5 linked regions of the Macaca fascicularis genome follow. The protein of the gene in region 1 purifies or fractionates together with the protein of each later gene. This does not show direct contact. Links are inferred from orthologs where the notes say so. Each region holds a gene or a part of one and is shown in the gene's direction. Other genes may lie near its edges.

Region 1 (4,039 bases):
CCGAGTAGCTAGGACTACAGGCGCCCGCCGCCTCGCCCGGCTAGTTTTTTTTTTTTTTTTTTTTGTATTTTTTAGTAGAGACGGGGTTTCACCGTGTTCGCCAGGATGGTCTCGATCTCCTGACCTAGTGATCCGCCCGTCTTGGCCTCCCAAAGTGCTGGGATTACAGGCTTGAGCCACCGCGCCCGGCCACCCTTTCTTAACTTAGCATTAATCAGAAAAAATTATTTAAGATAACAGCATCATATATTTAAGTGAGATGCAAAGATAAAGAGTTTTTTCCAAGTGTTCATCTGTCCACGTCTACCAGCCAATTCACCTGCTGACCGACTTCTAACAGGTGAAAGATTAATCTCCAAAGAAGTTTTTAAAGATCCCAAATGTTCTGTGATAATTATATACATACATACATCTACAGATATACGTACATACACACACATATATATACCTTGTGCTACGATATGTACAGATACAATACATATACATAAAACTCGGTGTTCTCAGTAAAGTATGAGCCATTTTTCATTTAATTACAAGATGTTTTTCCTTTTGTTTTTAGACAAGGAGGATTTTTTGAACCTAACCCTGAACCTCTAAATAGTTCAGATAACAAAGTTTTGGAATCACGAATTCAACATTGTTAAGAAACCATCCAGTCCAAATAAACAAAGGAAACCCACATATCATTTGCCAAGATTCTAATAACCATAATCCTGTGTCACCAAATGACAATGGAGACTCGATCCTTTATCAGTCCTAAATACGAACAGCAAAGTCCCCTTTGGTCCTCATACGTACTCGAAATTGCAAAGCAGGGCCTGGGAAAAGCGGTGAAGAGGCAACCCTTATTACAAGCAGTCCGAGTAGCTGTTACTAATCCTGGTTCCAAACAGCATCCTTCCCGGTTCTCTTCTTACGGAGCAGAGTCTTTTGTCCCTTCGCCCCAAATCGCTCAAGCCATTCCTAGGAAAGCTCGAGAAACACTTCACCTCACCTGTCAAAATTACAGAAAATCCACTTTCGAATTTTTCCCGCGAAAGAATGTGACGTCATTAACGCGGGACCTCACCAGATGAGGACCCAAAACTTGGCCCGTCCACCTCCGCCCAAGCCAAAAACCGCCGTTTTCAAACCGCCAATCAAATTCTTCCTTGGCTTCGAGGCTCTCAGCCGGCCGCGCTCTCCGATGCCCCGCCCTCCCGGAACCACCTCGCCTGTGACGTAGGTGGCGCGCGCACTGCCTTGGGCCCGTCTTTCTCGAGCGGGACCGGCGAACGTTGTCGCTCATCCTATGACGCGAAAGTAACCAAGACTATCAGGATCGGGAGACGGAAAGGGCTGAAGGCCGCAGTACTTGACCCTGTATTTTGGGAGTTGAACGGAGTAAGTTACAAGCGGCGTATAGGGTCGCACAGCTTGGGCGACGTCTGATTAACTCTCCGTCCTTTTTCTTGCGGTCCACTCTATCATTTGTCGTCCTTCTTACCCCGCCTCCCGCCTGCGCATCCATCAATTCCTTGACCTAGTTATCTATGCGCACGCGCAAAAGTCTTCCGGCAGTACTTGTAGTTCTCGTTTTCAGAGAGTAGGGGCGCATAGGGGCCCAGCATGGGGAGGTTTGGGGCGCGCCCTGCCTATGACGTTGTCCTTGTGGAAGTACGGGTGCCGAGAGAAGCAGTAGTCAGTAAAGACAGTGCAGTATTTCGCAGATTGGAGCTGACTTGTGGCTGCCAGAGGATAGTGAACGTGAGGATTTATATTCTAAAATTATCATCTTCTTTTGCAGGACTCTGCCATAGTCCTCAAAGAGTTAAAAATCCAGTTATGGAAGGGAACTAACAAGTGCTAGATACGGTGTGCAGAGTGCGTTAGCAAAAAAACTTAAGCGAAAACAAATGAGGAGGCAGTTAATTAGAGGACACAGGGTGGTGGAACATCTCAAAGAGTAAGATGCCATTTAACCTGGGCCTTGAAAATTTAGTAAGGAAATTTAGACGAGAAGATTCAGACAAAGCAGAAGACACAGGCCACTACGTGTTGAGGGACTTGAATTGTAAGCAGTGACTAGAACAATGATTCTTAACCTGTTGTGAAACGCTTTTGAAAACCTAATAAAAGTTATGGATTAGCTTCTCAGGAAAACATGTATGTACCTTTTAAAACATTTTGCGAGGCCGGGCACCGTGGCTCACGCCTGTAATCCCAGCACTCTGGGAGGCCGACACGGGCGGATCACTTGAGGTCAGGGGTTCAAGACCAACCTGGCCAATGTGACAAAACCGCGTCTCTACTAAAAACACAGAAATTAGCGGGGAGTGGTGGTGCACGCCTGTAGTCCCTTAAGAGGCCGGGTTGGGAGAATCTTGAACTCGGGAAGTGGAGATTACAGTGAGCCAGGATCGCGCCACTGCACTCCAGCCTGGGCGACAGAGAGAGGCTCCGTCTCCAAACAAACATTTCGCATATAATTTCCTCAGGAAAAATTACGAAATAATTTTAAATAGCAAACACACACAAATGACTTGGTGTCCTGTCTAACTCAGTCTTCCAGGTTATCTGTCTTTCGTGATCTTTGAACTATTTTTCAACCATGTAACCCGCTACAACAACATGGAAATGAGTTTGTCCAGTAAAGATGCAATTAATTATTATTCTGAGCAGTATTTATTAATATTTATTTCAACGTTCCTTATTGCCTATGTACGTGCTTTTTTTTTTTTTTTTTTTTTTTAAGAAGGAGTCTGGCTCTGTCGCCCAGGCTGGAGTGTAGTGGCCGGATCTCAGCTCACTGCAAGCTCTGCCTCCCGGGTTTACGCCATTCTCCTGCCTCAGCCTCCCGAGTAGCTGGGACTACAGGCGCCCGCCACCTCGCCCGGCTAGTTTTTTGTATTTTTTAGTAGAGACGGGGTTTCACCGTGTTAACCGGGATGGTCTCGATCTCCTGACCTTGTGATCCTCCCACCTCGGCCTCCCAAAGTGCTGGGATTACAGGCTTGAGCCACCGCGCCCGGCCGTACCTGCTTTTTAAATTCTTCTTTGAACTGGTTTTTAACACTTAACTGATTCCTTTATTTACAGTCCAGCACCACATACCGACAGACCGCATGTATGACAGTGGTCCCATAAGATTATAGGTGTGTAGTAGGCGATACTACCTAGGTTTGTAGGTGAGTACATCATACAATAACTACATACCCTACGATGTACTTACTCACCTGAATATGCATTTCTCAGAATGTGTCCTTGTCATTAAGCAACCCATGACTGTGCTTAAATCTTTACCATGTATTCCATTTTATATTTGTACAAGAGTCTTAATTTTACCTTATCTTTAAAATGTATTATTTACAATTTAACGGAGCCCACAAGAATTCTTGTCCAGACAAAGTTGCATGGACTTCAGATTAAGAATTCCTGAGTCAGAACATAGAGTCCATGGTGATAAATTGCAGGAAATTCTAACAAAAGGTAGACAATGTGGGATCAAACATACCTGGGATAATTTACTTAGCTAGCTTGGGCCAAGTCACATAACTTTTTTGAGTTTTTGTATTAAGAAGATGGAAGAAACTGCTACCTAGTGGGATTGTGAGGATTTACAAAAATGTATATAAAATTACTGGTATTATTACCCAGTAGCTTTTATTCTGCATTTAAAGCAACTAAAATGTTACTTTTTTTTTTTTTTTGGAGTCTTGCTCTGTTGCCCAGGTTGGAGTGCAGTGGCACAATCTTGGCTCACTGCAAGCTCCGCCTCCCGGGTTCACGCCATTCTCCTGCCTCAGCCTCCCGAGTAACTGGGACTACAGGCGCCCGCCACCACACCCGGCTAATTTGTTTTCTTTTTTTTTTTTTTTTTGTATTTTTAGTAGAGATGGGATCTCACCTTGTTAACCAGAATGGTCTCCATCTCCTGACCTCGTGATCCACCGCCTCAGCCTCCCAAAGTGCTGGGATTACAAACGTGAGCCACTGCGTCGTGACTTTTTTTTTTTTAAACAATGTTTTCTTAAACTGCATATTATGTTATGGGAAGGTG
Region 2 (4,061 bases), on another chromosome or scaffold:
CAAGACCAGCCTGGCCAACATTGTGGAACCCTGTCTCTACTAAAAATACAAAAATTAGCCGGGTGTGGTGGCAGATGCCTGTAATCCCAGCTACTCAGGAAACTGAGGTAGGAGAATTGCTTGAACCTGGGAGGTGGAGGGTGTAGTGAGCCGAAATCATGTCACTGCACTCCAGCCTGGGCGACAGAGCAAGACTCAAATTTAAAAAAAAAAAAAAAAAAAAATTTAAAGATGAGGACATTTTGGCTTGGGAAAATACTAAGTAACTGGCCAAGGTCAATTTCAAACCCAGTGCAATTGCAGAGCCTACACTTTTTAACACTATTCCAATACTGCCTCTTGTTACACCTCAATGCTTACAACAAAAAGACCTCATAGGAATTATTCGTTTTATTGATAAAGAAACTAAAGATTGGCAGAGTCAATTCCCTTAACCATTTTAATATGGCTAACTGTGTGGACAGTTAACTGATCTCTGGATCCCAAATCTCACCTCATTCTAAACCATCTTCTATGTTGTTCCCACAGTGATCTTTCCAAAATGTGAATCTGATCACATGTGGTGGCTCCAGACTCTGGAGTAGGCACTAACTCTCCCGCACTACAAATAGCTTTCCTTTATCTATTCCACCCCACCGTGTCATCTACGACCATTCTTCAGGCATACACACCCCCAGCTGCTCTGAGCTCCCAGTGTCACGCCCTGGGTGCCTCTGCACTGCCGTCTCCTATGCTGGGTGGCTCTTCTCCAGAGTTGCCAAGCCAACTGCAGCTTGCCCTTCAGAGTGAGCTCATGCCTGCTCTGGGGAACCCCACAGGCCGGTAAGAACCCGCTGCCGAGTACTCCAAAGGATCTCCCTCACCCCTATCGCCATAGTGCGTAGACTGGAACCCCGTTCCCAGCACACAACCAGGGCAGGCAGGCTGGGGCCTGAGCATGCTCAGCTAACGCCCCGGAAACGAGGAGGGAAGTGAACGACACTGGAGTCTAAAGTAGAAGTGTCATGGGGGAGAGGCGCGTCGACAGACGCAGTGGGAGCCTGAGTCACGCTAACGCTGGCAAGTCCCCAGGCCTAGAAACCGAGCAGTAGCACTAACCGACTCCCACCTTGCCGCCCGCCCAGCGCGGACCCTGACGTCACCCCTCTGCGCCACGCCGCCGCGGCGCTTCCGGCCGCGAGGCCGCGGCGGGCGGGACGGAGTGACCTCACGGGAAGTCGCGCGCCGGAAGTGCCTAGGGCTGCACGGAAGTGGCGGGGGCGGGGCGCGGAGGCGATGGGGGGCGGCGGCGGCCGGCGATGAGCGGCGGGAGCGCGTGAGCGAGCCGGGCGGGCGAGGCTGGGGGGCCCCGGAGCGCGAGCCGCAGGGCGGAGGGCGGGGGCGCGAGCGCGGCGGGCGGTGGCGGCGAGGCGGCGGCCGAGAAGATGGCGGACGGCGACAGCGGCAGCGAGCGCGGCGGCGGCGGTGGGCCGGGCGGGTTCCAGCCCGCGTCCCGCGGCGGCGGCGAGCAGGAGACGCAGGAGCTGGCCTCGAAGCGGCTGGACATCCAGAACAAGCGCTTCTACTTAGATGTGAAGCAGAACGCCAAAGGCCGCTTCCTCAAGATCGCCGAGGTGGGCGCGGGCGGTTCCAAGAGCCGCCTCACGCTGTCCATGGCGGTGGCCGCCGAGTTCCGCGACTCACTGGGAGACTTCATAGAGCACTACGCGCAGCTGGGCCCTAGCAGCCCCGAGCAGCTGGCGGCGGGCGCCGAGGAGGGCGGCGGGCCGCGGCGCGCGCTCAAGAGCGAATTCCTGGTGCGTGAGAACCGCAAGTACTACCTGGACCTCAAGGAGAACCAGCGCGGCCGCTTCCTGCGCATCCGCCAAACGGTCAACCGCGGCAGTGGCGGCTTCGGCGCGGGCCCCGGGCCCGGCGGCTTGCAGAGCGGCCAGACCATCGCGCTGCCTGCGCAGGGCCTCATCGAGTTCCGCGACGCGCTGGCCAAGCTCATCGACGACTACGGAGGCGAGGACGACGAGCTGGCAGGCGGCCCGGGAGGCGGCGCCGGCGGCCCAGGGGGCGGCCTGTATGGAGAGCTCCCGGAGGGCACCTCCATCACCGTGGACTCCAAGCGCTTCTTCTTCGATGTGGGCTGCAACAAATACGGGGTGTTTCTGCGAGTGAGCGAGGTGAAGCCGTCCTACCGCAATGCCATCACCGTGCCCTTCAAAGCCTGGGGCAAGTTCGGAGGCGCCTTTTGCCGGTATGCGGATGAGATGAAAGAAATCCAGGAAAGACAGAGGGATAAGCTTTATGAGCGACGTGGTGGGGGCAGCGGCGGCGGCGAAGAGTCAGAGGGTGAGGAGGTGGATGAGGATTGAAACAGGCAGCTTCCCCTACAGGCCTCCTCCACCCCACCACAATCCCGTTGGCTAGAGAATTCCCCTTCCTGCTCATCCCCAGTGAGCTAGTGGAGAGGGAGCCAGGGAGGCCGCAGAGGGAAAAAAACAAAACATAATATAGTTAAGAGAAATAATCGTAAGAGAACAGTGACGGACAACTTGAGAAAAGCAGTCAAGTTCCAAGGAACTGACAGCAACCTGCAAAGAGGACAACAGCATCTCCTCACCTGCATAAAATTGTCTCAGCTTCTGTTGTTTCTCAACTGAGGTTCCTAAACCCATGAGGATAATCCCTGGAGGGAATAGATCCTTGCACATCCGGGGCAAGAAACACGTCCAGGTTACCCAGACCATTGATAACAGTTGCATTTAGGTTGCATCTGGGTAATCTGGCACAAAAGATCTCTCTCTACGCCTCACTCTTGCAGTGTCTATCCCTTCACCTCCATTGAAATCAGCATTTTGGATCTAGGTCTTCATGGAATCCTTGAGAAGAGAGGCCTTTACAATTATCCAGTTCTGAGGGTTCAGGTTCATGAAAAGAAATGCAACTTGGGATAATCATGGGTTAAAGATAAGATTTCAAGAAGCCATCTAAGAATACAGAACCAAATTGGATCCATTTTTTTTTTGAAAAATGGTTTTGCATGGAACCTGGAGACCAAGGCAAATGTCTTGTCTTTGCAGAATTGTTTTCCGGGATGCCAGTGGATTCAGATAGCAATGCTTGGAGTAGAATCCGTTACTAAAATAGTTCCAAAGTTGACAAAAAATTTTCGAAGATAGAAGCAGTTTTACATTGGGGGTTGCTGAGGTAGGCACAAGAAAAAGTCAGGCATAAAGCACAAGGCAGACTGTTTGAGTGGATTGGTTGCTGCTCACTAAAGTTCTTCCCCTGATCTCTAAATATGGAGGTCATTACCAAGAAATGGCTTTGGTATGAATGAGAGCCAGATCTCCACTGTGTGAGCCAGTGAATTATGGCTAATTCGGCTGTTACAGCCACTGGTTGGCTGGATTTTAAACCATAAAACTTGAAGATTACCTACAAAAGGAACAGTGTGGCTATAAGCCTGAGCTTTAATGGAATATACATCCTCACGGAAAAGTTGGAAATAACCAAAACTGAAGTCTTAATTTACCTTCAGTTTAATCTGTGGATTTGTTCAAATACTAAAGATCCTCAGGTCCAGAATTCCAGCATCATTTATTCTTTTAAAATTTTTAAGAACTTGATCCATTGTATCAGTACCTCACAATCAGAGTTGGCAAATGATGGATGAGTGATTCAAGCAGTGCACCCGGTGGAAGCTGAAATCCATCTGTGAAAGGAACTGAAGTTAACGTGAATATGCTGACTATATCCTGGAAGCATTTTTATACCATCTTGAAATTTCAACAAACTGGCTTTTGCCAGTTAATCCAGCTGTCTTTCAAGAATAAAAGTTGGGGTTTTCAAGGATCGCCTCTTCTATATTTTAAATGGATTTTCAGTAGAAATGATTTTTACTAATCAAGTTAATCCCACCCCATCAAAAGGTATTCCTAGAAATGTCATAGACCTAGGTAACTTTGAATTGAATGGGAGCTAACGTTCTTTCCAAAGTTTTCAGGTATTCTTTGTGTGACACCTTCTCAACCAGGAGGCAAGTAACCCCACCTCCACAATCTTAGTAT
Region 3 (4,236 bases), on another chromosome or scaffold:
TGTCGCCTAGGCTGGAGTGCAGTGGTGAGATTTAGGCTCACTGCAACCTTCGCCTCCCGGGTTCAAATCATTCTCCTGCCTCAGCCTCCCGAGTAGCTGGGATTACAGGCGTGCGCCACCACACTTGGCTAATTTTTGTATTTTCAGTAGAGACGAGGTTTCACCATGTTGGCCAGGCTGGTCTCCAACTCCGGACTTCAGGTGATCCGCCCGCCTTGGCCTCCCAAACTGCTGGGATTACAGGCGTGAGCCACCGCGCCGGCAAAGGAGCTGGGAAATATCTTGACAGAGGGCAGGAATTTGCTAATCTCTGCAAGTGAGGGGTAGTGGTGGAGGCTTTTCACACTCAAGGGGCAGTATTAGTTCACCCATTAGCAAACGTACTTAAAAATTACCTCTTGAGAGTTCCGCTGAATAAATGAAACAGTATATTTAAGTCAGTATTGTGCATGGGACATGTAAGCTCTTAATGTTATTAATTTCATTTTATTCCTTTAAGTTGGATCACTGCGGCGAAACGTGAGAATGTTTTCATGAATTTGGCTACACATTAAAGCGACCTCTCCAAATGGGTTGTCGTATTTTACATTGCTACCAACAATGTAACAGCCTTCTAGTTGCTTTATGTTCCCATATACGAAAGAGCCCCACCATTTGATTCTGTTTTTCAGTTTCTGACAACCTCACCTACTTTCTCTTTCAAGTTCATCTGCCCCATTTTTATTTTATTTATTTTTTAGACGGAGTCTCGCTTTGTCACCCAGGCTGGAGGCTGGGGTGCAGTGGCGCGATCTCGGCTCACTGCGACCTCCGTCTCCCGGGTTCAAGCGATTCTCCTGCCTCAGCTTCCCGAGTTCCTGGGACTACAGGCGCACGCCACCACGCCCGGCTAATTTTGTATTTTTAGTAGAGACCAGGGTTTCGCCATATTGACCAGGCTGGTCTCGAACTCCTGACCTCGTGATCCGCCTGCTTCGGGCTCCCAAAGTGCTGAGATTACCGACGTGAACCACCGCGCGCGGTCCATCTGCCCCATTTTATATCACCACTGCAGTCACAAACTAAGTTCTCCTAAGAACCACCAAGCGGCGCGTGGGCGGGCGCCTCATACCACTACAATTGCGACCTCACAACCTAACCCCGGGCGCCAACGCTCAATCCGGTTCTCGCGGGAAGATTCATGGTTTTTAAGCGAGAACTTCTAAGCCCACGCCACCTCCCAAGGGTCACGTGACGCGCCTGCGTCCTCGCCTCAAGGTTTTTTTCTCGTCGCATATTGGCTGTTAACTCGGCTACGGGGTGTCGCGAGGTGCATTCCGGAAGTAGGTCCTTTGACTTTTGCTTTCTTTACGGAAGAGAGTCACAACCCGGCGGTCGACGCTTAGCGGAAGTTCGTCAAGTCGCAGTTGCCCCCGCACAGCGGATGTGGGTCGCTACTTAGGTGACGCTGGGAAGTGTTTGCAGCCTCCGCCGCTGCCTTCTGGTTGAAGCATTATGGAGGGAGACAGGAAGAACAACAACAAACGGTGGTATTTCACTCGAGAACAGCTGGAAAATAGCCCATCCCGTCGATTTGGTGTGGACCCAGATAAAGAACTTTCTTATCGCCAGCAGGCGGCCAATCTGCTCCAGGACATGGGGCAGCGTCTTAACGTGTATCCTTGCGGCCTAGGCCTTCGGCCTTTGAGTTGGTCCCGCCATGCTCTGGCGTCTAGGTCTCAGGCTCTGGTGGGGGACGAAAGTGGGGAAGAAGGTGGGCAGAAGCTGGATGTCTAGTTGGGAGAGCCCACGATGGGGCGGGCTGAAACTCAGTTCGCGCTAGGGAAGCGAGGCGGAGTTGATTTCCCGCTCGCTCACCCGTGCCACCAACCTTGCTGGGCATTCGTATCCTTCCCGGCTTCGTGTTTTAACCAGCCCTTCCAACTCTCTCTTCATTGTGTTCTGATCGGCTCTGGTGACGTTAAGTTTCTCATTTTCCGCTGTGCCCTAGGGGTTTGGGTCTGGCAGAGGTTTCTCTGTTGAGGGCTGCTTCCGAAACCTAGTGTGTAAATTTCGAGAAATTCAGTACCTGAAAGTCTTATAAAGGGTGGTCTAGAATTAATGCCTCAGCCTTGGTCCAAAATCCATTCCTCATCTGCTAGCTGTTTAAGTGACCTGTCAAATTCTTGGTCGTCTTGTCTATAAAATGGGATGATACCTCTTGTGTTTGATTCTGTGTCCATCACAATGCTTTGCATTAAGATGCTCAATTAGTAGCTGCTGTTTTATAGAATTTCAGAGGAAAGATGTTAGTTTACGTTTGTAGGGGTTACCCACGAATCTAATGTTTTAAATCGTTTACAAAATACTGGGTCCTTAAGTTACTTAGAGTGGTGGTGTGTATTTCATTTTCTTTCTATTTCAAAAATGAGGTAACGGCCGGGTGCGGTGGCTCACACCTGTAATCTCTGCACTTCTGGGAGGCCGAGGCGGGTGGATCACCTGAGGTCAGGAGTTCGAGACCAGCCTGGCCAACATAATTAAACCCCTGTCTACTAAAAATACAAAAAATTACCCCGGCTTAGTGGCGGGCAGCTGTAATCCCAGCTAGTCAGGAGGCTGAGGCAGGAGAATCGCTTGAACCCGGGAGGCGGAGGTTGCAGTGAGCCGAGATCGCGCCACTACACTCCAGCTTGGGCAACAATAGTGAAACTCCGTCTCAGAAAAAAAAATTAAAAAAAAAATGAGGTATCCTCTCCCACATATTTTTGTTTGTCAGGAAATATACTTATTTTGTGGTGGAGAAAACTTGTATAGTTTTAAAGTTCTTTCCACTCTGTGTATGAAAATTTTCTTGGGTGCAGCTTCTATTTAAATGTGTGGCTGACAGTAATGTTTGTATCTTAAGGGTGTGTGCATCTCAAAATGGGTGTCTTTTTTATCGCCAGTTTGTTTCCTGCTGATGTCCAGATGTGTTTCCTAAGCATCCTATCAGTACGGAGTAAATCTTTTTGTTCGAAATTCTATTTCAGTGTATCCTTAAAACGCTTTCCTTTTTGTATGTGTGTTGTCATTAAGGTTGTCAGCCAGGCGCGGTGGCTCGCACCTGTAATACCAGCACTTTGGGAGGCCCAGGCGGGTCGATCACTTGAGGCCAGGACTTCAAGACCAGCCTGGCCAAAATGGTGAAACCCCGTCCCTACTAAAAATACAAAAATTAGCCATGTTTGGTGGCGAGTGCCTATAATCTCAGCTACTGGGGAAGCTGAGGCAGGAGAATCGCTCGAATTTGGGAGGCAGAGGTTTCAGTGAGCCAAGATGGTACCAGTGCACTCCAGCCTGGGCGACAGAGCGAGACTCTGCCCCCTCAAAAAAAGGCTGTTGTAATTTGGGACTGCATCATCTCTCTACCCCATATTGTCTACTGAAGTTTTTAGAAGTAAGGCATTTACAAGTTTTTTCTTCTTCTTCAGTTAATGAATTATCAGATCATTTCAGATGTTTCCTGTCCCGTGGATCACCACATGAGAAGGCTTGGTTGCCAGAGAGAAGTGGAACTGAAAATAATTTAGGCCGATTGTGGTGGCTCATGCCTGTAATCCCAGCACTTTGGGAGACTGAGGCGGGCGGATCACTTGAGGTCAGGAGTTCGACACCAGCCTGGCCAACAAGGTGAAACCCCATCTCTACTAAAAATACAAAAATTAGCCAGGCATGGTGGCCCAGCCGGTAGTCCCAGCTACTTGGGAGGCTGAGGCAGGAGAATTGCTTGATCCCAGGAGGTGAAGGTTTCAGCGAGCTGAGGTTGTGCCACTGCACTCAGCCTGGGTGACAGAACGAGACTCTGTCTGAAAAAAAAAAAAAGAAAGTAATTTAGTTGATGGAGTTTAGCAGGTGAGAGAGGTAGTGGAGACATACCTATGGGCCAGATCAGGGTGGGCGCTGTAAATCATATTAGATTATAGATATCTGCCACCATGCCTGGCTAATTTTTGTGTTTTTAGTCAAGGAGGGGTTTCGCCATGTTGCCCAAACTGGTCTCAAACTCCTGACCTCAGGTGATCCACCTGCCTCTGCCTCTACCCAAAGTCCTGGGATTACAGGTGTGAACCACCGTGCCCAGCCAGGCCTTATAAATTGGTTTTTTTTTTTTTTTTGGAGGTGGAGTTTTGTTCTTGTTGCCCAGGCTGGAGTGCAATGGTGTGATCTTGGCTCTCCGCAACCTCCGCCTCCCGTTTCAAGCGATTCTCCTGCCTC
Region 4 (4,132 bases), on another chromosome or scaffold:
AAAAAAATTAAGGTCTTTCCTTCAGTGATTTTATTCTTAATTAAAGAGAACAATCACATGAAGAAAATGAGTAAATGCTAAACTATGTTGTGCTGATTTTAGGAATGACAGTTTTAAAGGGAGTGATCACTGTGAGCTAGAAGGATTAAGAAAAACATATGGAAACGGGTGAATTATATCCATAGATATAATGAGCCCAGATAATTGATTCATCTGGATTCCCTGGAACAATCCCAGCTGGAAATGTTGTGTATCATTACCTTCATAGGAAGCACTGGAGTTCAAAATTTAACAATGACTAGTATAATAATTAAGGATACAATTATTCCAAAGACTTGGAACACAAAAGTTTATCCAATTTAAACAAAAGCAACCTTGCAGATTTTATTCCTACCTTAAACTAGTTTGCTGAGCACTTACAATGTTCCAGGCACAGCAGAGAGCGACCTGCGTTAGCCAGGCAGAACGCCCGCTTTCACTAAGCTTATTTCTTTCATGGTTTTTTGTTTTTGAGACGGAGCCTCACTCTCTCGCCCAGGCAATGGTGTGATCTCGGTCCACTGCAACCTCCGCCGCCCCCCCAGCCCCCACCCCAGGGTTCAAGCGATTCTCCTGCTTCAGCCTCCTGAGTAGCTGGGATTGCAGGAGCCCGCCCAGCCACCCAAGTAGCTGGGATTGCAGGTGCCCGCCCCCATGCCCGGCTAATTTTTGTATTTTTTTAGTAGAGACGGGGTTTCACCACGTTGGCCAGGCTGGTCTCGAACTCCTGATCTCAAGTGATTCGCCCACCTCGGCCTCCCAAAGTGCTGGGATTGCAGGCACCGCGCCCGGCCAGTTTATTTCTTTCAAGAGACATTGGCGTTGAGACTATCTGAATCAATACAGTAACTACGCCTACTGAACACCTACCACGTGCCAGGTATTGAACTAAGTCCCCCTTCATATGCCATTTCATGTAATTATCTCAACAACCCTACCCAGTTAGCAGCAAGGTTTCCAGTTCTGCCTTCGAAGGGAACCTCCTCTCACCAGACATCCCTATGACAGACCCTACGAAACATTTTGCTGCATCAGAATGCTACAGGTCGTCAAATCCCTAACATGCGCAAAAGCGGGTAGCGGATTATCGCGGGTAGCGGATTATCCAGAGTAGCAGGCCTGGCCCGCTGCCTGCCTGGCGCAGCGCATCTCCCTAGCAACGAAACCCTTCCGCGCCGCGAGGTGGCTGAGCCCCGCCCCCTCTATTGGCGCGCCCTCACCATCCCCCGCCCCCGGCGCGCGTTCTGCGCATGCGTACGCTCGCTAGTCCCGCCCCCTCGCGCCGCGGTCGGAGCCATTTCGCCGATTCCTCCATGCGAGTTGCAGTGCGTTTCTCTGTTGTCTCCGTGGAAGGCCAGAGTCACACACGGTCCTAAGAGCTGGGCACCAGGAAGCGAAGGCTGGTAAGGGAGAGACGTTACGACCATCATGCGGGGCGGCGGGGTCGCGGGCGGGCTGCGTGGACCGTGGCTCCGCAGCCGGCTTTGTTGCGAAGCGCGGGCGGCGGCGGCGGCTGGGGGTGGGGGAAGGGACGAGCCGCCCGCGGGTCCCCGGATTGCGGGTTGCGTGCGCGCCTCGCCGAGGTGCGCTTGCGCTGCCCAGGCCGCCTGTGGCCCCCTCCCCTTCGCCCAGCGGTTCCCGCTGCTGCCTCTAGCAGCCAAGGCCCGCTTCCTCCTCTGGCCTGCGTACGCCGGAGCACCGCGGCGGCTGAGGGAAGAGGGTGCATCGCCTGTGGTGGTTGCCGCCGGGGCGCCACTCACCTAGGGCCTTTCAGTCATTCGTTCAAGCCACAAATAACTGGCGCCGTCGTGCAGGCCTTGTGGCTAGAGCAAAAAGAAATTAAAGAATGTAAAGGGAGAGCGCCTTTGGCTAGTATAGCGAGGTGAGGCGTCTCGAAGGAGGGAGGCTTTGAGCTGATCACCTCGGCCGACGCGAAGGAAAAGCAGAGCCTGCAGAAGCGGAAGGGATTAGTTAGCGCCTAACGGCAGAGACTGCGCGGGAGCTGAAAGCAGGCCATGTGACTGGAGTGTGGCGAGAAGGCCTTCAAAGGAGAATGGGTTTTAGGGTGGCAAGAATGGAAACAGAAACCGTATAGGACAGTATTTAGCCGGGTGTGCAGTAGTGGTGGCAGGAGAGATGGGGAGAAACGAATGGATAGGGGACGTATTTTGAAGGAGAAATGCGCAGTGGTGGAAGGTAGTAGATCTGGAGTCAGGCTACGTTTTCTGAAATTCTTGATTTTTTTTTTTTTTTTTTTTTGGACGGAGTCTCTCTCTGTCGCCAGGCTGGAGTGCAGTGGCGCGATCGCGGCCCACTGCAACCTCCGTCTCCCGGGTTCAAGTGATTCTCCTGCCTCAGCCTCCCTCAGTAGCTGGGACTACAGGCGCGCGCCACCACGCCCAGCTAATTTTTGTATTTTTAGTAGAAACGGGGTTTCATCATGTTGGCCAGGATGATCTCGGTATCTTGACCTCGTGATCCGACTGCCTTGGCCTCCCAAAGTGTTAGGATTCCAGGCGTGAGCCACAGCGCCTGCCCGAATTATTGTTCTTCTAATTAGTAGCTCTGTCTTTCTGAGGCAAGATATTCTTTGTCTCAGTTTCCTTCTCTAAAGGGATAGTGGTCTTACCTATACAAGATTACTAAGGATTAAGTAAAATAGTTCCATTTAGATGATCTATTATGGATATTGTTTGACACACAGTAAGGGTTCTACAAAGGATAACTATGGAGAATCTTCAGGGAGTGGACGACTCTCAACTTGTGCCAGGAGTAACTTGGTGGATGTTGTGCCGTTTATGGAAACCGAAATGTAGGGTAGGGTGTTGGAACAGATTTGAGGGGAAATTTAAAATTCTGTTTTGACTGAGATGCCAAGATAGCATGCAGATGGGTGAGTTAGTGCCACAGTTGGATGCATTTGATTTTGGACTTTAAAGAGAAACGACGGGCCGGGAGCTGTGGCTAACGCCTGTAATCCCAGCACTTTGGGAGGCTGAGGCGGGCGGATCAAGAGGTTAGGAGATCCAGACAACCCCGGCTAACACGGTGAAACCCCGTGTATACTAAAAATATAAAAAATTAGCTGGTCGTGGTGGCGGGCGCCTGTAGTCCCGGCTACTGGGGAGGCTGAGGCAGGAGAATCGCTTGAACCCTGGAGGCGGAGGTTGCAGTGAGCCGAGATCTCGCCACTACAGTCTGCGACTGAATGAGACTCTGTCTCAAAAAAAGAAAAAAAAAGAGAGAAAAGACTAAACCTTCAATATATATATTTGAGCATCGATAGCATGTAGTTGGTATTGAAAATTATGGGGTTGTATGAGACTAGAGAGACAGGAGTTTGATAGTATAATCCTTCATATTACTCATTCACCATGAGGGCTTGTTGTTTAATTATTCACGAGGTGGAATTTCCAGATAAACATCTTCAGCTTTCCACGGCTTTTTTGTTAATAGAACATTCCCTTCGCCACATGGATGACCAGAGTTAGACTGTGACCACTCAAACGTAACAAATTTATGCCAGGGTACAGTTTGATGCATTAGACGTAGGTGCTAACAAAATGCATCAAACGTGAAACGTGAAGCAGACGGTTTAATGCTGGTAATAGGATTCGTTTCACAGCAAACTAAATTCATAGCACATTTTATTTTCTCTGGTTATAAATGTGGTCTCAGATATCTTCCTTACAGTTTAGACTCAGCATTTAGACTGATAGGCTCCATATCTTCTGGTATTTTATAGACTGAGACAGAGAGGGAGTGCCAAGACTGATTGCTGCATTTCAAGAAAACTTTAGTATCCTCAAATTTTAATAAATAATAAAGCCTAAAGGAGAGATTTGGTATAGAACATTTAAGTTAATAATAGGTCACTGTCTTCAGTACTGAGTGCTTAATGTATTTGAACTTTATTATATTATTAATACATGACCACAACTTTGGAAACAGTGTGCTAATGGTCATAATCAGAATGAGAATAAAACATTGAGTTTATATGCAAATGATAGCTGTTTCTTAATATATAGTTGTTTGAATTTGAATTTAGGCCTCCACTGTGGGTGACTTGGAAGTTACTTAACTTTCTAAGTCT
Region 5 (4,146 bases), on another chromosome or scaffold:
GCATTGGGCAAAATTTTATTTTGTTTCCATGATAAGTGGCTTGTAGTTCCACCCATACTGTTCCAGCCATACCGTTATTCAGAAATAATTCTTTTAGTTGGGCTTTCATTGCCAACCTACATACACTCTTCTTGGTTGGGCAACTACCTAAAGAGATTTACTCAGACATTGTTCAAAGGATGTTTTCAGAGGGCAATGATTTATAATAGCTTAGATAGACTCTCAAAGCTCTGCTTCTGAGATCGAAATTTGAACTTGTCATTTAATCACTACATGTCACTTATTTTTCTTTCTATTGCGCTCTGCGAAGCGTTGGGATACAGTCTTCAGGGGGATTGAAACCATACATGGTGAGTGGACTAGTCATTCCTCAACTATTCAGTAATAATAGCGGCTGGGCTTCTCTAATAATGGGAGTACATATGTTTCAATATACAGTTCTTATTTATTTTCCCTTATTATCAATGTTTGAATTCCAGCTCTAAGCTACTTTATTGCAATTTGGTTCTGAAGCATATGCCAAAAGCACTCAGCAAGGCTGCAGACAAATGCTTTAAAGAAAAGTGCACCTCCACTTCCAGTGACTTTATGAACATCACATTCGAAAATTAATCTTTTTTCAACTCTGTACCCTGAGTATATTTTGGACTTCCCTTCGTTCCCAAATACCCTGAATTCAAGGTATCTCAATCCATGGAGCAGTTGTCCAGAGAAGAGAGAAGCAACAGCCCCGCCCCCAACCCTTGGGAGCAGAAAGGGAAAGAATTATCCAAAGGAATTGTTTTAAAACTCAGATATAGCGGACAGATGTAAAACCACGGCTGCATAGATTGATGTCCCAGGGGTCCAAAACTTAATGTCAAATGAGGAATAATTTGTTTAGCATTAAACTAAACCAGTTTGATGAACTCAAATGCCCTCGGCTCAATAGGCAGGACTCTCCGAGGAGCCTGTGTTACTTCCCTCACTTAAGTGCAGATTTGTAATAAAAATCTTAATGCCAGTGGCATGCTTTTTGGATATATCAGAAGCTAACCACTTGGAGAATCATATTTGAGAGGTCAGAAAACTCCACAGTTAAAGATCGGTTTATAATTTACGAAGAAAATAGAAAGTTTTGTTTCTCTGAGTTGAAATTTGCCAAGCACGGCGGGAAATATTGCAAGTTTTTGGCACAAGGCTTTGTGCTTTCCTCATAATTTGAGATCTGCGTGAAGCCTGAGGGTTCGGGGATCATTATCTGAGAAAAACCGGGTAGTTCGGTGCAGACAATTTTTATATTTTTGGCTTTTTTTGAGGTGTAACAAACACAACTCGGGATCCGAGAGGACACTCTGCGGCTGCCAGCGAGGCGGGCTGGACAGCGCACCAATCACGGCGCAGCTCCGCCCTATATAAACGGGCGGGCGCAGCGCCGCGGCCCGAGTCCCGGCCAGTGCCTCTGCTTCCGGCTCGAATTGCTCTCTCTCTCACGCCTGCCTTCAACATGTCCGAGACTGCGCCTGCCGCGCCCGCTGCTCCGGCCCCTGCCGAGAAAACACCCGTGAAGAAGAAGGCTCGCAAGTCCGCAGGTGCGGCTAAGCGCAAAGCGTCTGGGCCCCCCGTGTCCGAGCTCATTACTAAGGCTGTTGCCGCCTCCAAGGAGCGCAGCGGTGTATCTTTGGCCGCTCTCAAGAAAGCGCTGGCAGCCGCTGGCTATGACGTGGAGAAGAACAACAGCCGCATCAAGCTGGGTCTCAAGAGCCTGGTGAGCAAGGGCACTCTGGTGCAGACCAAGGGCACCGGCGCATCGGGTTCTTTCAAACTCAACAAGAAGGCGGCCTCCGGGGAAGCCAAGCCTAAAGCTAAAAAGGCAGGCGCGGCCAAAGCCAAGAAGCCTACAGGAGCGGCGAAGAAGCCCAAGAAGGCGACGGGGGCAGCCACCCCTAAGAAGAGCGCCAAGAAGACCCCAAAGAAGGCGAAGAAGCCGGCTGCGGCTGCTGGAGCCAAAAAAGCGAAAAGCCCGAAAAAGGCTAAAGCAGCCAAGCCAAAAAAAGCGCCCAAGAGCCCAGCGAAGGCCAAAGCAGTGAAACCCAAGGCGGCTAAACCAAAGACCGCCAAGCCCAAGGCAGCCAAGCCAAAGAAGGCGGCAGCCAAGAAAAAGTAGGAAGTTCCTTTGGCCAACTGCTTAGAAGCTCAACACAACCCAAAGGCTCTTTTCAGAGCCACCCACCGCTTTCAGTAAAAGAGCTGTTACACTATCAGGGGGTGTGGCCGGGAAAACGCCGCTATTGAGGGGCGGGTCTCCCGGGAACAAAGTCGGGAGAGAGGAGCCGTTTTTGGCCAGGGGGTCATTTCTCGTTCCGTCGGCCAAGCAGGAGTGCAGCCGCGTCATTGAGCTTTTATTGCGTTTTCGAATACTGGAGTTAAAACCCATTTCGACCTCCGTAGTACTTAACACTTAGCGAGATCTGGCCTGCAAATAGCATGGGAAAAAAAGTCGGGATTTTCCCGGGCTTCTAGGCTGGGACGTATGAGTTCCGAATAGAGAACACTCAATTTCCGTGCTGGCTCCCTACAGACTATGGCAAGCAATGGAGTGCAGAGGAGTACGTCTCGACACAGGTGGCATAGTACACTATTTCAACCACTGCCACAACTAAAAATTAGAAATTGACACTGCAGAAAATACGTGGTCCTTAAATGTAGCATTTGCATAGATGAAGGACTTCCCAAACGCAAAACTGCCAGACTTCCAGGGATATCCCAATTACCATGACTTCTGTATGCAACGAGTCCTATAATTTGTTAGAGGAAGAAAAGAGAACGTGAGCTCTCCTAAAGTATCTTTCAGTATACGTTCTGACACCACAACGCTAATAAAAAGTGTGATCTCAAAAACAACTGCTCCAAGAGAAGTGCACAGCTGACTTGTCTAAAGACGACTATTTATAGTAGCCTCGGGTAGTCTGGTCTGGGCTTTCTGATTGGGTAAAAGTAAAGTAATGAAATAGCCAATGAAAAGGTAGACTTTTAAGTGTCGTTTACATTGGCATTTGTGACGACACACAAAAATTAATCCAATCATAAACGAAATCTGATTAACCTCATTTGAATACCGCATCTATAAATGAACGGGGCATCGGTGGGAGTGATTATTTTCTCAGGTGTTTGCGACAGTGTTGTAATTATTAACGTTGCTATGCCTGAGCCTACCAAGTCTGCTCCTGCCCCAAAGAAGGGCTCCAAGAAGGCGGTGACTAAGGCGCAGAAGAAGGACGGGAAGAAGCGCAAGCGCAGCCGCAAAGAGAGCTATTCCGTGTATGTGTACAAGGTGCTGAAGCAGGTCCACCCCGACACCGGCATCTCTTCCAAGGCTATGGGGATCATGAATTCCTTCGTCAACGACATCTTCGAGCGCATCGCCGGCGAGGCTTCCCGCCTGGCGCACTACAACAAGCGCTCGACCATCACTTCCAGGGAGATCCAGACGGCCGTGCGCCTGCTGCTTCCGGGGGAGCTGGCCAAGCACGCCGTGTCGGAGGGCACCAAGGCCGTCACCAAGTACACCAGTTCCAAGTAACTTTGCCAAGTAAGCATCTTTACACCTAATCCCAAAGGCTCTTTTAAGAGCCACGCATGTTTTCAGTAAATGAGTTGTAATTTCATTCAAAAGGGGGATTATTGGATTTCTCAGCACCATACTACCAATCTTTAATGTTATGTTAGTACTGCAGAGGAAATACTTGGAAATTATAGGTAGTAACAATAGGTACCAGAAGTTGAGTGCTATGGGCACATACTAGATCATTAGCTCATTTAGTGTCAGATAACACTAACATAAACTGAAAGTACTGTAAGTGTACAGCTCTTTCGTTTCCGTGTGCAGATTTCCAAGTTGATCGTGATGTTGATCTGGGACTTCGTGTGGTGACGGCCCACCCTGAGCACAAAAGAGCACCCTTTTGCAACTTCCTTCTGTTTGGAGCTTTCTCCACCATCACCCCCGCCCCCCGTTTTCTTGTAAAATTTTTACCATGCAGATACGTGATAACTGCAAGTAAAGGCTGAAGACAATGTGAGCTGAACACGGAAGTATTACAAAGGTTTCTGGTTTGCTTTGTAATTGGGCCAGTTTCTCTCTGAAGCTCTTAGGCGAGTAGGGGA

What was found. Proteins that work in one complex are often made in the same cells at the same time.
Region 2: the proteins of LARP7 (region 1) and PURB purify together in Homo sapiens (affinity purification with mass spectrometry; 3 studies listed by BioGRID and IntAct, with this or other methods). This does not show direct contact. The link is inferred for Macaca fascicularis from reciprocal best matches to the Homo sapiens genes LARP7 and PURB.
Region 3: the proteins of LARP7 (region 1) and CCNT1 purify together in Homo sapiens (affinity purification with mass spectrometry; 10 studies listed by BioGRID and IntAct, with this or other methods). This does not show direct contact. The link is inferred for Macaca fascicularis from reciprocal best matches to the Homo sapiens genes LARP7 and CCNT1.
Region 4: the proteins of LARP7 (region 1) and DHX9 purify together in Homo sapiens (affinity purification with mass spectrometry; 3 studies listed by BioGRID and IntAct, with this or other methods). This does not show direct contact. The link is inferred for Macaca fascicularis from reciprocal best matches to the Homo sapiens genes LARP7 and DHX9.
Region 5: the proteins of LARP7 (region 1) and H1-4 purify together in Homo sapiens (affinity purification with mass spectrometry; 3 studies listed by BioGRID and IntAct, with this or other methods). This does not show direct contact. The link is inferred for Macaca fascicularis from reciprocal best matches to the Homo sapiens genes LARP7 and H1-4.

Annotation. Positions count from the first base shown.
Region 1 is NC_088379.1:118,138,925-118,142,963, forward strand, and holds the start of LARP7 (la-related protein 7), read left to right. Parts: upstream 1-1,239; 5' UTR 1,240-1,383; exon of another isoform or gene 1,384-2,145; intron 2,146-3,078; 5' UTR 3,079-3,167; intron 3,168-3,869; 5' UTR 3,870-3,964; intron 3,965-4,039. UniProt on the Homo sapiens protein: RNA-binding protein that specifically binds distinct small nuclear RNA (snRNAs) and regulates their processing and function.
Region 2 is NC_088377.1:85,453,972-85,458,032, forward strand, and holds the start of PURB (transcriptional regulator protein Pur-beta), read left to right. Parts: upstream 1-1,261; 5' UTR 1,262-1,424; coding exon 1,425-2,363; 3' UTR 2,364-4,061. UniProt on the Homo sapiens protein: Transcriptional regulator which can act as an activator or a repressor.
Region 3 is NC_088385.1:55,529,737-55,533,972, reverse strand, and holds the start of CCNT1 (cyclin-T1), read left to right. Parts: upstream 1-1,436; 5' UTR 1,437-1,494; coding exon 1,495-1,655; intron 1,656-4,236. UniProt on the Homo sapiens protein: Regulatory subunit of the cyclin-dependent kinase pair (CDK9/cyclin-T1) complex, also called positive transcription elongation factor B (P-TEFb), which facilitates the transition from abortive to productive elongation by phosphorylating the CTD (C-terminal domain) of the large subunit of RNA polymerase II (RNA Pol II).
Region 4 is NC_088375.1:40,371,624-40,375,755, forward strand, and holds the start of DHX9 (ATP-dependent RNA helicase A), read left to right. Parts: upstream 1-1,332; 5' UTR 1,333-1,442; intron 1,443-4,132. UniProt on the Homo sapiens protein: Multifunctional ATP-dependent nucleic acid helicase that unwinds DNA and RNA in a 3' to 5' direction and that plays important roles in many processes, such as DNA replication, transcriptional activation, post-transcriptional RNA regulation, mRNA translation and RNA-mediated gene silencing.
Region 5 is NC_088378.1:146,774,866-146,779,011, reverse strand, and holds the start of H1-4 (histone H1.4), read left to right. Parts: upstream 1-1,423; 5' UTR 1,424-1,486; coding exon 1,487-2,146; 3' UTR 2,147-3,181; coding exon of another isoform or gene 3,182-3,562; 3' UTR 3,563-3,571; intron 3,572-3,868; exon of another isoform or gene 3,869-4,146. Other genes in the region: histone H2B type 1-M, read left to right, coding at 3,182-3,562. UniProt on the Homo sapiens protein: Histone H1 protein binds to linker DNA between nucleosomes forming the macromolecular structure known as the chromatin fiber. Histones H1 are necessary for the condensation of nucleosome chains into higher-order structured fibers.